4 linked regions of the Schizosaccharomyces pombe genome follow. The protein of the gene in region 4 binds, or shares a complex with, the protein of the main gene of each other region. Each region holds a gene or a part of one and is shown on either strand. Other genes may lie near its edges.

Region 1 (4,376 bases), 460 kb from region 4:
GTCAGGATAATTACTTGAAGGAAGCTTGCAATGCTATCAAGGAGGCTCAAGGATCAGGTGTTGAGTTAAGTCCTGATTATGTTGAGTTTGTAGAAGCTTATTCTGCTTAGGATCGCTTTTACTTGCAACTTGACGGGTGTATTTCCATTATATCATTATCCCGTTGTTATATTTTTCTCCTTGAACAATACATCCTGCATTTTTTTTCTCTTTTCGAGAGTATTTTTCTCCATTATATTTACTTTTTAGGCAAACCTTATAAGTTTGTCGCTGGCCATTTTAGATTTCAAAGCAGTTCTTTATTGAAAGGAAATGTTGATTTTGTATGTACGACTTAGTAGAGCGTATAAAAAAATAAAAATTGTTTACTGATTCATGGGTTTCATTTTACCATATAAGTAAGGTCGGTTTTTGTGCTTTTATTAAAGTATAGTAGTTATTCTTTCCCGCTATTTATACTCAGAGATCCTAACAGTTTGGTGAATGGTTATAACTTTATCAGGGCTATATAAAAATATCTTTGAAAATTTACTATTTCGCTGTTGAAATTACTAAAAAAGTAGTATTTAATAAAATGAGATTTTAGTTTCTTTAAAGGTACAGTAATAGTGTTTGAAATAAAGTAACATGCTACTTAAAGCAACAGATTTTGCAACATGCTAACAGTTTGAAGACCTCTTAATATTACTTATGCACTGAGTATATTTTAATTTATTTGAATCTGGAAAGGTTCAACGTCCTTTCGCAAAATAGTATCCCAACGCTTTTTTTAGTCTCAAATTTCAGAGATTGCAGCTTCAAGAATAGATGAACACTTGGCAAAGGAAGTTTATTCTATATTTGAAATTTAAGACAACACACATTATTATTATTTAAAAAATTATTCTTGATGTTTTTGGAATTCAAAGTTCACGAAGTATAAGAAAAACCATCATAACAAAAATCGTTGTTGCACTCGCAATTACCAATATACTTGCAATAATAAAATGGATCCATTTGAGGGCCGCATGACATTTCTACAGCTTTTGGGAAAATTGAATGCATCGCAATTCTCTCAAATTAAACCCGCGCAATTTGCAATTAAGCATCTAGACTTGGAAGAAGACTTATATTCATGTATATGGGAGGAACTAGAGTCAGGTTCGTTCAATACAAGAGTGAATATCATGTACTTTGTGGACACACTCTGTGAGATGTGCTTAAAAAATGGCCTTACAGGTGGATATCTTAATATGATTAGTAGAGATATCTGTAAGCTAGTCCAGAACGTAGCTCCTATAGGAGCTGCTGGAGCTGCTAACGCTCCAGAGGTTAGAAAAGTACTCCAGTCTTTGCATGAAAAGAAGGTAATCGATGATAATCAATATAAAGATGCTATGGCTACGGTAGAAGCCCATGAACAAGCGAGCAAGTCAGGTGATACCAGTACTTCAGGAGCCATTTCAAAAAACGACATTCTTAAGAGGATTGAAGAAGACAGAGAGCGACACAAAAGAATGCGTGAAAACATTTGGGCTATTTCAGAACCAGAGTTAGAAGCGGAAATTGCATGGAACACTACCCAAGGAATTACTGAAAGCGATTTGGAATCCCTAAAGGATGAATACGAAAAGTTTAATGAATGTCTTCATGCAACTTCCTGAACCGAAGAGCGAAAACATAGAGTGTAACCCAAATAGAATAAAAACATATAATTAACTAATAATTTTGGAGTATTTTATACATTACCTAATATCTGGTTTTTTTAGAGATGATGAATTTTCCCTCCGTAGCTTAGTTTTTATGGGAATCCAAGAAAGTAAATCGTGTCACAATGTCAAAGCAATAACAAAAAGGTTGCCCAAAGAATTTGAATGGCGGAAAAGCATAGAAATGAAATTTTTTATAAACAACCCAGTTTATTCGAGGACTACTTTACAAGAAAGTTTCTCTAACTTCGATTTTATAGCTTCAGCATCCTCTTTCAAAATATTTTCTTTCAAAACCTTTGGAGCACTTTCAACGAATTTCTTTGCGTCCACAAGAGATAATCCCAAAAGAGACTTCACCTCTTTGATCACCTTGGCTTTCGAACCAGCATCAAACGATTCGAGTTTCAAATTCCAGGTGGTTTTTTCCTCTTTCTTTTCCTCAGGAGCTTTCTCTTCAGAAGGAGCGGCTGAAGCTACTGCTGGAGCCACTGCTGCCATCGGAGCTATTTCAGCAATGTTTAACTTCTCCTTTAATTGCTTTACAAGTTCAGACGTCTCTAACAATGATAGAGAGCTTATTTTGTCAACCATTTCCCCAATTTGGGCATTATTGTTTTGTACAGATGCGGCAGCTCGAAATGATCGCGTGTTTACCAACGATCTTGCCCAGTTCTTACTGGAAGATAAAGCACGTCTTTTAAAGTTAGTATAAATTTGTTAATTAAAAATAATTACAATCTTACAGATTTCTTGTTTGGCGTGATGCGATGCGAAACATGCTGTATTTTAAAATTATACTTGAGGTGAAGTAAGGTGCAAGTGAGATGGGGGTTGGCAAGTTAAGTATAGTAACTACAACTTTTAGGTGATCATTCATCAAATATCTAAAATATGTTCAATGGATCTTATTAATTTTTCATTAGTAATAATTAGAAAATAAACTAACCTCGTAGTAAAAAATGCTCTAGAATTATTAAGTGTTCAACAGTTAGTTGAAGAGAACAAATAAATCTAACCCTTTATTTTTATGCTTTTATCTCCCTGTTAATTATCAGGCATATAACAAATAAAACAAAAATGCATAATGTATTGAAATATTGCAATAAATCCACAAATTGATGGTGGTATTACATATTAGAAAAAAAATTAACAATGAGATAATTACTTTATGCTGCTCCGGCATGCTTTGTCAGTAGACTTCATCCCACGACCATAGTACCAACCGCCTTCAATCAAATTCCTTTCATCACGTTCCCATTTAGACATTTTGGTATTCATGTCTTTAGGATCTAAATCTAGTAATGTTATGTGATCTTTACCAATGTATAAAGTCACATCTCGAAGGGTCATCGCTAACGCAACATCAGTACGAGAGTATTGCTCTTGTAGGTCACGAAGCTTCCGTAGTATACCAGACTGAAACAATCTCATTGCGATATCAGGACTCACAAATCCTTGAAGACAGCACAAAAACTTGGGCCAATTGTTGAAATCAAGCTGTAGAGGACAAAAACCAACGGGTCTACCACGCATACGGCTAAGGGCACACGTTCGACAAACAACCCAGTCAGGTGGAGCGGCAGGGGACTGAGTCAACCATTTTGGTTTCATTTCAATTCCATCTTTGAGATCTTTCATTACCAAACAGTATTGCTCATTTAAATTTAAATAAATACCAGAAGCATTTTGGGCCGCCAGCAAAAAATCCCTAGTAACTGGCTGCAAAAAAACCTCAATTAAAAAGCTTTCCATTCCAGCAAACAAAGGATAAATTACATTTTGATAGTATTCATAAACTTGTTCTGTAGTAAAAACCTGTCCTCGACGTCGAAGACGAATTACCTTGTCTTGAAAGTAAGGATTTTTACCAACATACTCAAACACCACATTCGCACTTCCTGAGGCAAGGTATGCCCATTCAGAAATCACCAGGGATTTACCGGTGGAGGAATGATTGGAGATAACGGATGTTGGTGAATAAGGTGCAGGGGATTTAAAAAGCGGATTCGATATAATTGGAACTTGAAAATTACTACTAGCAACCGATTCATCTTGGGACTCTACACCAGAAGAAAGGGCTTTCATGGATGGAGGACGCGACATAATTGGAGTTGAAGGAGTATGTGTGTCAACGGGAGAATTTGTAACAGAAGAGCTAGCGGTACTAGCCATAGGCGAAAGGCTTACCTGAGACGCTGAAGTATGCAAATTCTGAGCGATGAGAGAATTCATGGCATCAATTTTTCCAGCTTCCCACTCTCTATTTGATAAAACATCACCAGATTTTGGAAGTTCTACGGGAGGACGGTTGTTGTTTACGGCAATTAAGGAAATGCTTTCAGCAGCCTGGCAAACTGAGGAAAACTCAACGAGCCACGTTTGGGGAATATCGTCTTGAAAACAATCCCAAGGGCGAACAATGTTGTGCATTTTTCGAAACATTTGAAGTTGCAAGCAGTAAAAATGCTTCATAAGTTGTCCAAAAAAAACACGACTTTTTGCAATAAGAGTTGGGAAGGACAAAGTTAAATGCTTCTGAAGGTCATCCAATTCACCATTGACACGGACAAGCTGGCTTTGTAATGCTTTAATTTTACTTTTTTTGGTTTCAGGATCAGGCAATTCGTAAACAACCAATAATTCTTTTTGAATTTTTTCAAGTTCTTTTACTTTTTTATCTCTTCT
Region 2 (3,424 bases), on a different chromosome or scaffold from region 4:
CCCCCAAAATTTATCAGCTGTCAATGAAGAATTTGATACTAAGAAGAATGATTTCGATTCTAAACTTCCTGAATCTACCCCTGCCGTTGAAAAAGTTTCTGAAAATCTCGGATCTGAAACTCGTGAATCTTTACAAGGGGCAAAACCTGCTGCAGGTGCTCATAGTTCCGACAACGCCTTGGAACAAATCAAGCCCTCTTATTCAGCTGACCCTTCGAGTTCCACTGGTGCTTCTTTAACCGAATCTCCAGGAATTCCTCCCAATATTGTTATCATTCTTTGCCTGATTTTCTTCCTTATTGGCTATCTTTTCTTTTAAAATGTAAAGCGTAGATATGTTTAATAAGAAGTGTAAAATCTTCTCCCTAAGTTAATGGCTCTTGATTTTATTACTTTATATGGCCTTTGCTAAGCAAGGTTTTAGGTTGACGTTTGTTGAATTTGTTTGCTCTTCACAACGATAGGGTACTTTTTAGCGCGTTTATCTGGCTTTGGAGATAATTTCCAAATGTCGTTATTTATGTCGACGTCTCATGTTATCTACTTTTTACTCGCAAGAAAAGTTGTAGTCCTCTTATGGTTACCAGACATTCATTCTTACCAGTTCACAAACGTAAATGTGTCTTTAAATACATTACAGCTTCTTATAGTGAATACAATAACATTAATTTATATAAAATAATTTTTTTTGGAAAGAACAATATTAAAATGTGTTAGCTTTTTAGGGCATACGACATTGTGGAATGTTCAAACATTAATGCAAAAAATCAATGAAATTTAAGTGAGTAGGGATATGGCTTTTGTTCTTTGAACTACCTTTTAAAATTAAAGGAGATTTTAAACACTTATTTCGAGAATAATTCCTTCGCAATTTGCGAACTTACAGGATTATGGTAGGAACGAAATATGTTTGCCTTATAAGGGTGTTCAGCTCCATCGTAAATATAAAGACGTTTCATTCTCCTATCCCAAAGCTTATTTCTTGGAAGCATTCCACCAACTGCTCTTCTCAACAAATCCTTGTGCCCCCGTTTCGCAGCCATTTCTTCCATCGTCCACTCTTTAAGATGACCAGGCTGACCCGAATGTGAATAATATTTATGATTTTCGAGTTTTCGACCAGAAATCCCAATTTCAGAACAGTCAGTGACTACTACGACATCTCCACAGTCTGCTGCAGGGTGATAAATGGGTTTGTGCTTGCCCATAAGAGTAGTTGCAATTTGGGAAGCCAGCCTACCTAGAGGAACATTTTTTGCAGAAACATGATGCCAAACTTTGGCGTAAGCCAATGCTGTCTGATATTGTTAGTAAAAGAAACTGTCAAACTAATTTCATACTTGTCCATTCAACGTTGACATCGCGTTGAGATTTCTATATCATAAAATCCTCAGTTCCTTCTGATTTTTCTCTTAAAGCGACAGTACAATATCAGTGGTTTCTAATAAAAGAGAAGTAGGAAAATTGCTCAAATAATGTTTCCTCAAGCTTGTAGGTGTGGGTAAATATTGGATGCTAAGCAACTGTAGTAAGGTAACTGTTACCTACAAAATTTCTATTTTTCAAAAATGTTGTTTTATTTATTATTTCTTAAATATTGATTTTTCAATTCATAATACGAACCTCCTTTACTAATCATGATAAAGCTAATAGCTATTGCTTCAAAAAATACCATTTGTATATATTAGAAAAAATAAGGCAATGAACGATACAATGATAAAACTAATTTTTGATAAGCCCAAAGAATCACAGTAAATTGCAATAATATACAATTAACGCTTGATTACGAATTTTCCGTCTCAGGACCAGATTCATGCTGAATGTTTTCAATTTGACTCAACAGCTGAACCATTGTTAAGCCTTCCGGACCATACAAATATCGCTTGCTATACAAGTAGCTGCTTATCGACAATGGACGGAATTGTAAATATCTTTGCAATTCATGGAGGAGTATAGAGGACTCTTCATGGCCTATAAATTCCGCTAATTCATCAATGGTTTGTGGATGTTGAATATTCTGAACTCGTAAGAGACCCATCAAAAAGATTTGTATAAAGTTAATTTGATGTCCATCTAAATATTCAAACAAGAGAAGTTCTTTAGCAATAAAGCTTTCCACTTTCTTTAATAAAGATGCGCTAGAAGCTAGTTGGATAGGAGTGGGTATTTGATATTGCCTATGTGATGAAAGCGAGGGATTTTCATAGCTTTTCCATGCCTTTTGATAGATGAAACGTCGTACGCGTAGCAAATCGGCCAATCTGTCAGTGTTTTCGCTGGAGGAAAATGAAGGCTGCCGTAGTAATTGTCGTGAAATCGAATACTGATTTGACCCCAAAGATTGAGTATACCACTTCTTATACAAACTTGACCCATGAAATCCATAAAACACACAATCTACGTGTCTCTTACAGATGGGACATGTCAAGGATTGATCCATCCAGCGACATATGCAAGAATAATCGAACTGGTCATGCCCACATGGAGATAGCTGTGCCCGAAGACCATCTTTTTGTAAACATATAACGCAATCTCGACGAAGGTAGCGAGAATTTGACGAGTTTTTACGTACAAGGAATTGCTTTTTCATTCTTCTTCTAAAATTTAATAACTTGTTATATTGTATTTATGCACTAAATTAATTGATGTGTATGAAACCGCATGAATGGCAGAATGTCAAGTTATCTTGTCATCAAAAAACATTGTGTGCTTATTCTTCTTAATGGAAAATTATTCAAGTCATAATTTGCAAGACTTGTTGAATTTTTTAAGGTGAATTTTCACAATCGTCGTCTTACACTAGATGTAGGCTAAGTTATGAGAACAATTAACAATTCGCAGTTACTAAACTGAATCTCTTCTGTACGCTCTTCGTAACGTTAACTTAGCTTAACGCGGTTAATGCTATATGCATAATACAAACAAAGAAGTACATGTTAATGTTAGCAGAACTACACTAGCTATGATACAGTACGTTGCGTATCACTATATGTCATATGCTAAGATATTACTTAAGATTCGTTTGCTGATAGATGCGGATAAATTGCTTTTCTGCATACATAAATAAATTGCTAAAAACTATTAGAAAGATTGTAAATAGAGCTACCACTGAACCTCGTTCCTCAGCTCAGTTATTAGCTATATCGGTGACCGATACTAATAGACTTCTTATAACAATAAATATACATTGTTAGTTAAATATTGCATACCGCTATATTGTAGGTCGCTAGAGAAACGTACCGCAATTTTTCGTATCGTTAAACAGATACCGAACTGCGTAGTCAACAGTTAAAAAATATAACGAAGTAACCTGTATTGCACTGTACAGAAACTTTTAGGTAAGTAGAGAGGCTAAAGTCCTCGAGAAATAAGAAAGTATAAGCGGGTTTAGCTAAAAAACTTAGCATCTTTTGTTCATCTGAAT
Region 3 (3,219 bases), on a different chromosome or scaffold from region 4:
AAATTAGACAGAGTGTGTAGTTTTGGGTAGGTACTCTTTGACAAGACAAAAATTTTTTCTAATTAATTGCTTTGCTTATTTTCAAGTTTCATTTCGCATCTTCTGATGATGTCTTCAATTTCATTGATTTCGCCTGAACTCAGTCTGTGGTACTCAATGCTGGAACTATCAGTTGGAACATCAAGTGCTTGAAATGCAAACTTTTTAGCTAAGGAATAGTTTCCCAGATAATATTGTTCTTCCGCTGCAAATTTTGATTGCTCTAAAATATAGGCTTCTTCACCGAGGACGACGCCATTTTTACTAAGATGCTGAATAATCTGTTAAAATCATAGACAATAAATTGGGAGTAAAAAATGAGTAACATACACCAAAACATTGAACTCTTGGAGTCCATCCATCAGTTTCAATGCTTACTTTCTGTTTTAATCGCTTATTCCGTTCAAGCTTTGACTCACTAACATCAAAATCCAAATCAATCGCCAGCAAATCCATTCTTACTAGAACATTAAATTCTTTTGATCGATCAGATATATTTAACAGATAATGGACTATATAATAAAGCCTGCTACAGCTGTATTTTACTAAAAAAGTGTGTAGTAAAAACCTTTTAACCCCACAATGCTTACGAGTAACAAAACTCCAAAAAAGCAAAATCTTAATTGGCTATCAGGTAAAAAGTGTTTGCTGAAGAGACAAGGTCCCTTAATTAGACGTAGAATAGAAAATTAAAAAATATATTTTAATTAAGTGAAATATTAACATTACAATACCCTTTTCAGATGGTTCGTGGAGCAAGAGATGCTATTTTAGTATGATGTTTTGTTCTGAGCTCGTTGGCAACGACTGACAAGATACGGGTTCCCAGAGGCTCACACTCCTTATTAACCAAGACGCAGGCATTATCATCAAAACGAACATAACGACCATCGGGTCTTCGAACTGGTGATTTCGTCCGAACAATGATAGCATGGTGGATATCACCGCGTTTAACTTTATTAGCAGCAGTAACTGATGAACCGCTTCGTGCCTTTTTTACCACTACTACCACTTCATCACCTGTTTTTTAAAAAAAGGTGATGTTAGTCGAATATAAACAAAAGATCACTTCGTGCTACTTACCAAGTGAAGCGAATTTTCCCGCGCGAACTACACGAATGCACTCAGCTAAGGTAGCACCCTTTTCCATCTTATTAGTACAAATAGTAATATTTTAAACTTACGGAATTGTCGATAACTTTGAGTATACCTTTAAGTCCGATCATTGCTAAAGATTCAAGTACTTGACCATACATTCACGTACTCGCTTCCACTATAAATTACACTATGCGTAATATTAGAATTTGGTATTTGACGTTAGTTGGCATATCGTAGTATGTAACACATCGCAAAATATATAAATAAAAACAACTGTTTGTATTAAAAAAAAAGCGATTTGATTAGATGCATTCAAATATGAAATTATTCCAAGCAAATTGTTTGTCATAACCTGTTATCTTGCTTTAACCTTCTGATGTTTTGCTTGTTACACATGTTTTAATCAAATTCTTCATCATGCATGGAGTTGTGGAATAGTCATTAAAGCAAAAATGTGATATTGACTAGCAATTGCTCTTATCATATTAAAATATCATAATGGATTGTATGCTACATATTTGATTTTGTATTACTCGTTAATTTTGTTGAAAGTGAGAGGAGGATTTGGACGTTAGTGAATCCATTTTATTTTTTGGAAGCAAATGAACTATCATTCTCATCTTTAGACGACGCAGTTTGAAAAAATGCTCTGCGATATGTTTACAGTAAACGCCTTACTAATTTGCGATCCGATTATGAATCTCATTAGCCGTACCCGTATCTGAGCTAGACACTACACCTTGTATCGAAACTTTTAAACTTCTTCAAAATTTCAACTATTACTTGTTAAACAGTAAAATAATATTGGATATCGCTCTTAAGAGTAATAAGGGTAAATAAATGGATAAATTAAGTAGACCGGAAATCAGGCAGCAAACTACTCAACAAATGTATGATGTTCCTGAAAACATCCTTGAAATTGATGTATGTTTACTTTATTATTTCGAAATATTTCTAATAGATGTTATTTTAGGTTATAAATCCACAAACTCACGGTATTGGAAGAAACATGTTTACTACTTATGAAATTGTTTGTCGGGTAGGTACCACTGAAATTCATCTTCTGATAGCAGATTATTAACTCATTTTTGTAGACCAATATGCCCTATTTTCGTCTACATAATTCTAGCGTTCGTCGACGTTACAGCGAATTCGAGAAATTTCACGATATGCTTGAAAGAGAGTCCGGTCGTGTTTCAATTCCACCACTTCCAGGAAAGATATTCACTCAAAGATTTAGAGATGATGTTATCGAAGAACGTAGACAAGGTTTGGAAAATTTTTTACGACTGTAAGTATTGAATGTTAATTTTGCCTTATTGCCCCAAAGAGCGTTTTAAATTGCACAAAAACTAATACATTATTATGTAGAGTTGCTGGACATCCTCTTATTCAAACCCATTCTCGTGTTTTATCTTCTTTTTTACAAAGCCCGGAATTCAAGCCTACGCCATAAACCCGCCGCTAACTTGTTTTTCTCCATTTTGCCCTCCAACTGTTAATTTTTGTCAATCTTTTTTTTTATTTTAAAAGAAAAATTTGGAAATCAATCTGTTACAAAGTTTAATTACCATTTAAAATACCTTAGGTTGTTATGAAGTAAGTTTTCTATTGAGGCTAAAATATAGCAAAAATCCGATTCATCTTTTCGCTGTTTTCGTTTTTTAATTTTAAAATTAACAAAAGTAGCTCCATTCGTCAAATTGAGCGTTTAAACGAGCAAGAGTTGGATAAACCTTTTAGCAGTTCTTGGCACCAAGATTATAGTGATAGTGCATATATTTACATCGGCAACTTAGATTTTGATTTGAACGAAGATGATATTTTATGTGTGTTTTCTGAGTTTGGCGAGCCAGTGGATATTAATTTAGTGCGCGACAAAGAAACCGGAAAATCGAAAGGCTTCGCCTTTCTAAAATATGAGGATCAACGTTCGACAGTCCTTGCCGTTGACAATATGACGAATGTAAAGTTACTTGACAGATTGGTTCGTGTTGATCACGTTGCTAGCTACAAAGTACCGCAAAAAGAAAAAGAACCTGCCAACTTAGTACCGTTAGGCGAATCAGGTAGTTCTCTTTC
Region 4 (3,393 bases):
GCTCTTTTTTCATACTTTTGAACCCGTCTTTTTCATATAAGGCGATTGCCTTGTTCTTGGGAAGAACCTGAGGAGAAACACGGTAGAAATTTTGATTATCGATGAAATAATAAGAAGGAATCCGAGAAATGAGTAAGCGTACAGAAAGTTCGAGGCTACTGCTCAAGTAAACACGGGCAAAGTGGACATCCGGATATTTTTCATGAAAAGCATGCGAAAGGTCCTAAAATTAGTTAGTACAGATTCAATTAAATCCAAAGATGGTTTAATTTATTTCCGAGGCTCAAAATTCAATCTCATAACAAGAGCATTTGGACAACATTAAATGCAGTCCATTACTTACGTTAAAAAGTAGCTCTCCAAGAGTACAGTTAGCACAGCCTTCAGCAGTCAACTGCACAAACCATTTGCCAGATTCAATGACATGATCCCAGGTTTTATCTGAAAGTTCGACAACGGTGGAATTGTCAAAAGCGCAAACTGGGTCTGTGTTGTATTTTTCATACGGTACCTGTAAGACATTCATAGCTTCAATGGCAGCTGATTCATCTCCTTCACAACTATAAGCTGCCACGAAATGCAGAAGTTCAAATAGAAACACAAAAAACAAATTAATTTTCATTGAAGCTGAATAAGGTAATGAAAAATATTTTCTCTGCTGCTTTAGCAATAATAAACACGAGTTATGAGATGATTTTGGATCCAACTCAAAATAGTTGGTAGCTGTGAGAAGAAGATGCTAGACGAGCTGATAGAGCAGAAACGATGGCCGCACAATACGCAGTAAACGTTTACCATTCAAGGATTTAAATTTCATATTAACTATACTATTATAGGAAAATCCAAAGCTTGTTATTGTAATTGAGAAACACTAAGCATCAACCCTGATAAAATATTACAATAACGATAATATTCAAACTCAGAAAGAGACTACGCTTCTAGTGAAGCCTTTTAATTAAATTTTTTATATTTTTTTATAGAAAAAAGTCAATGCTGAATACTTCGTAATTCTTGTTAGTAATGTAACAATATCTCGTAATGAAAAGCTAGAATTGTTCAAATTGCAGCTAGCTAAGCCTTAATTAATCCACTAATAAACTCAATAAATTCTTTTTATGTTGATTGAACTAAGTGAGAGTTTAGGTATTATTATTCCTTCGTTTTCGTCGAGAATTCGGACCCTTGTAACAAATGTGCTTTCATAGATTTTAAGGCATCAACAGCAATCGCTTGCTTCTTGGGGAAAAGTGTATTTCGATAATATCCCCTTGTCACTGAGACGACATCACCTTTTGTAAAGTTAGTAGTTTCCTACGACGGCTAAAAGAATGCATTTCTTATAATAAAAGGATGTAACCACTACCTCCCTATTATAGGTTTGAAATGAAGAACATTATAATTATGAAAAATTTAGCATACCTTGCCTTCCTAGCTTTGAAACTTCGTTGTTTAACAGTTTTACCAAAAACGGTTTTGGCTGTTTACGAAGAAACCTCTAAATAACTGTGTAAGTAACGGTGATTTTTTTTATAAGCTTGACATACCAGTTGCCCATAAATTCTTTGAAAAGGTGAGACTGCTAGTTCAAGGGAATTGAAGCGAAAAAATCGAGTTGTCGGTTTCATAATACTCATTTCAATTAAATGGGTGCACCAAGAAATCCGTCAAGAAAGTTTTTACAAAATAAAAAGAAAAGCAGCTTAAATAAATTCTCAATTGAATGTAGAATTCAAAAACCGTTAGTTTAGAGGTCTAAGACGAATCTTGTAGTGTGAACCTTTCCGATGATTAGATTTATAGTTTCTTTTAATTGTTATCAAAATAATATACTATTTAGGCGCGATATTTGTGATATGAAAATGGTCAATTTGAAATTGAGCGAAGCGCGATTCCAAGCTGTGCTGCGCGCAATACTTCAAGATCTACCAATATATCTCAACCAGTACCACCAACTTTATTTGTAGACATTTCAACGAACCCATTATAAAAAACATTGCTAATATTAGTGAATTAAAAAGAATAACAAACATCCTGTTTTTCTGTTCGAAAGTTGGGCCGCTAGTAAAACTATACTGAAATTACAATTACGTTGGTTAAATTGAAACACTTGGAAGTGGATATTTAGGGCTCTATGAACGGAATTAATACTGCTAACGAAGAAATTACAAGGAGCTTGGAAGAGTCCTTAAATATTTGCAAGCAGTCTAGTAGGCTGATGCAAAGAAACTTGCAGACAGGACGATTGATGGATGCATTTCGTAATTGCAGTATTAGTCTCGTGGAAATGAGAAATTCTGCACTTACTCCAAAACAATACTATGAGCTGTATATGTTTAATATGGAAAGCTTGCGTTTACTTGGGGGCACATTGCTGGAAACGCATCTGAACGGTACTCACAACCTAATGGACCTTTATGAACTTGTTCAATATGCCGGTAGTATTGTCCCTCGTTTATATCTCATGATAACCGTTGGAAGCGCTTATTTGGAAACGCCTAATGCCCTTGTACGTGAAATTATGAATGATTTGTTAGATATGTGTAGAGGTGTTCAGCATCCGTTAAGAGGTCTTTTTTTGCGCCATTATCTGCTTACCCAAACAAGAAAAGGATTACCTTTGGGATCAGAAGATGAGGAAGATGCATCTCGCAAAGGAACCGTACTCGATTCTGTTAAATTTTTAGTTATCAACTTTACGGAAATGAATAAATTGTGGGTTAGAATCCAACATCTTGGTCCAATTAAAGAATTTTCCAAACGTACCCAAGAAAGGAATGAGCTAAAGGTTCTTGTTGGGCTGAATTTGGTTCGATTATCTCAGTTAAACCTCGATATAGACACTTACCGAGATCATGTCCTTCCTGCCATAATCGAGCAAATTATTGAATGTCGGGACTCACTTGCACAAGAGTATCTTGTTGAAGTAATTTGTCAGGCGTTTTCTGATAATATGCATCTTCAAACCCTCGATACATATTTCGGTACGGTCATAAAGCTTTCTCCAAGCGTAAACGTAACCCAACTTGTGGTCGCTATGTTGAATCGCCTTACGGACTATGTCCAACGTGAATATGAATCTGATTCTTCTAATGAAGATGAATCTGAGACTGTAACCGAAAAATTAGGAGACATAAAAATTAATGAGGAAGTACAGCAAAAAGACGAGCAAGAATGCCCTGGAGATAAAGTAATTCCTCCAGAATATGCTATTCAAGAGGTTTTATGGTCACATGTTGTTGAAGTTATTCAATCTCGTAGTGGTCTTCCACTAGATTGTATTGTTTCTATACTTTCTAGCATCCTCAATTTTTTCTTGCGGTGTTACCCTTATAAACCCCAGTATGCAGATCGTGTTTTTCAATACATTAACGAACATATCATTAACCAGCCCTC

The links.
Region 1: SPOM_SPCC777.17C (region 4) and mrpl12 share a complex: the UniProt entries of both Schizosaccharomyces pombe proteins name them as parts of the mitochondrial large ribosomal subunit.
Region 2: SPOM_SPCC777.17C (region 4) and mrpl23 share a complex: the UniProt entries of both Schizosaccharomyces pombe proteins name them as parts of the mitochondrial large ribosomal subunit.
Region 3: SPOM_SPCC777.17C (region 4) and mrpl38 share a complex: the UniProt entries of both Schizosaccharomyces pombe proteins name them as parts of the mitochondrial large ribosomal subunit.

Annotation. Positions count from the first base shown.
Region 1 is NC_003421.2:1,158,603-1,162,978, reverse strand, and holds mrpl12 (mitochondrial 54S ribosomal protein bL12m), read right to left. Parts: upstream 2,524-4,376; 5' UTR 2,470-2,523; coding exon 2,435-2,469; intron 2,386-2,434; coding exon 1,899-2,385; 3' UTR 1,644-1,898; coding exon of another isoform or gene 987-1,643; 3' UTR 663-986; downstream 1-662. Other genes in the region: protein Nro1, read left to right, coding at 1-110; Lsk1 complex gamma subunit lsg1, read left to right, coding at 987-1,643; ipk1 (inositol 1,3,4,5,6-pentakisphosphate (IP5) kinase), read right to left, coding at 2,853-4,376. UniProt on the Schizosaccharomyces pombe protein: Component of the mitochondrial ribosome (mitoribosome), a dedicated translation machinery responsible for the synthesis of mitochondrial genome-encoded proteins, including at least some of the essential transmembrane subunits of the mitochondrial respiratory chain.
Region 2 is NC_003423.3:4,217,840-4,221,263, reverse strand, and holds mrpl23 (mitochondrial 54S ribosomal protein uL13m), read right to left. Parts: upstream 1,492-3,424; 5' UTR 1,362-1,491; coding exon 1,341-1,361; intron 1,299-1,340; coding exon 846-1,298; 3' UTR 648-845; downstream 1-647. Other genes in the region: scs2 (VAP family protein), read left to right, coding at 1-319; mrz1 (ubiquitin-protein ligase E3), read right to left, coding at 1,784-2,590. UniProt on the Schizosaccharomyces pombe protein: Component of the mitochondrial ribosome (mitoribosome), a dedicated translation machinery responsible for the synthesis of mitochondrial genome-encoded proteins, including at least some of the essential transmembrane subunits of the mitochondrial respiratory chain.
Region 3 is NC_003423.3:3,549,394-3,552,612, reverse strand, and holds mrpl38 (putative mitochondrial ribosomal protein subunit L38), read right to left. Parts: upstream 1,270-3,219; 5' UTR 1,266-1,269; coding exon 1,224-1,265; intron 1,181-1,223; coding exon 1,123-1,180; intron 1,060-1,122; coding exon 779-1,059; 3' UTR 722-778; downstream 1-721. Other genes in the region: SPOM_SPBC887.08 (uncharacterized protein), read right to left, coding at 63-311, 370-495; sorting nexin Snx3, read left to right, coding at 1,978-2,061, 2,111-2,176, 2,232-2,428, 2,509-2,593; RNA-binding protein Cwf29, read left to right, coding at 2,732-2,736, 2,827-3,219. UniProt on the Schizosaccharomyces pombe protein: Component of the mitochondrial ribosome (mitoribosome), a dedicated translation machinery responsible for the synthesis of mitochondrial genome-encoded proteins, including at least some of the essential transmembrane subunits of the mitochondrial respiratory chain.
Region 4 is NC_003421.2:1,617,425-1,620,817, forward strand, and holds SPOM_SPCC777.17C (mitochondrial ribosomal protein subunit L9), read right to left. Parts: upstream 1,635-3,393; coding exon 1,545-1,634; exon of another isoform or gene 1,496-1,544; coding exon 1,420-1,495; exon of another isoform or gene 1,290-1,419; coding exon 1,150-1,289; 3' UTR 722-1,149; downstream 1-721. Other genes in the region: SPOM_SPCC777.12C (ER stress response thioredoxin family membrane disulfide oxidoreductase), read right to left, coding at 1-223, 344-622; retromer complex subunit Vps35, read left to right, coding at 2,132-3,393. UniProt on the Schizosaccharomyces pombe protein: Component of the mitochondrial ribosome (mitoribosome), a dedicated translation machinery responsible for the synthesis of mitochondrial genome-encoded proteins, including at least some of the essential transmembrane subunits of the mitochondrial respiratory chain.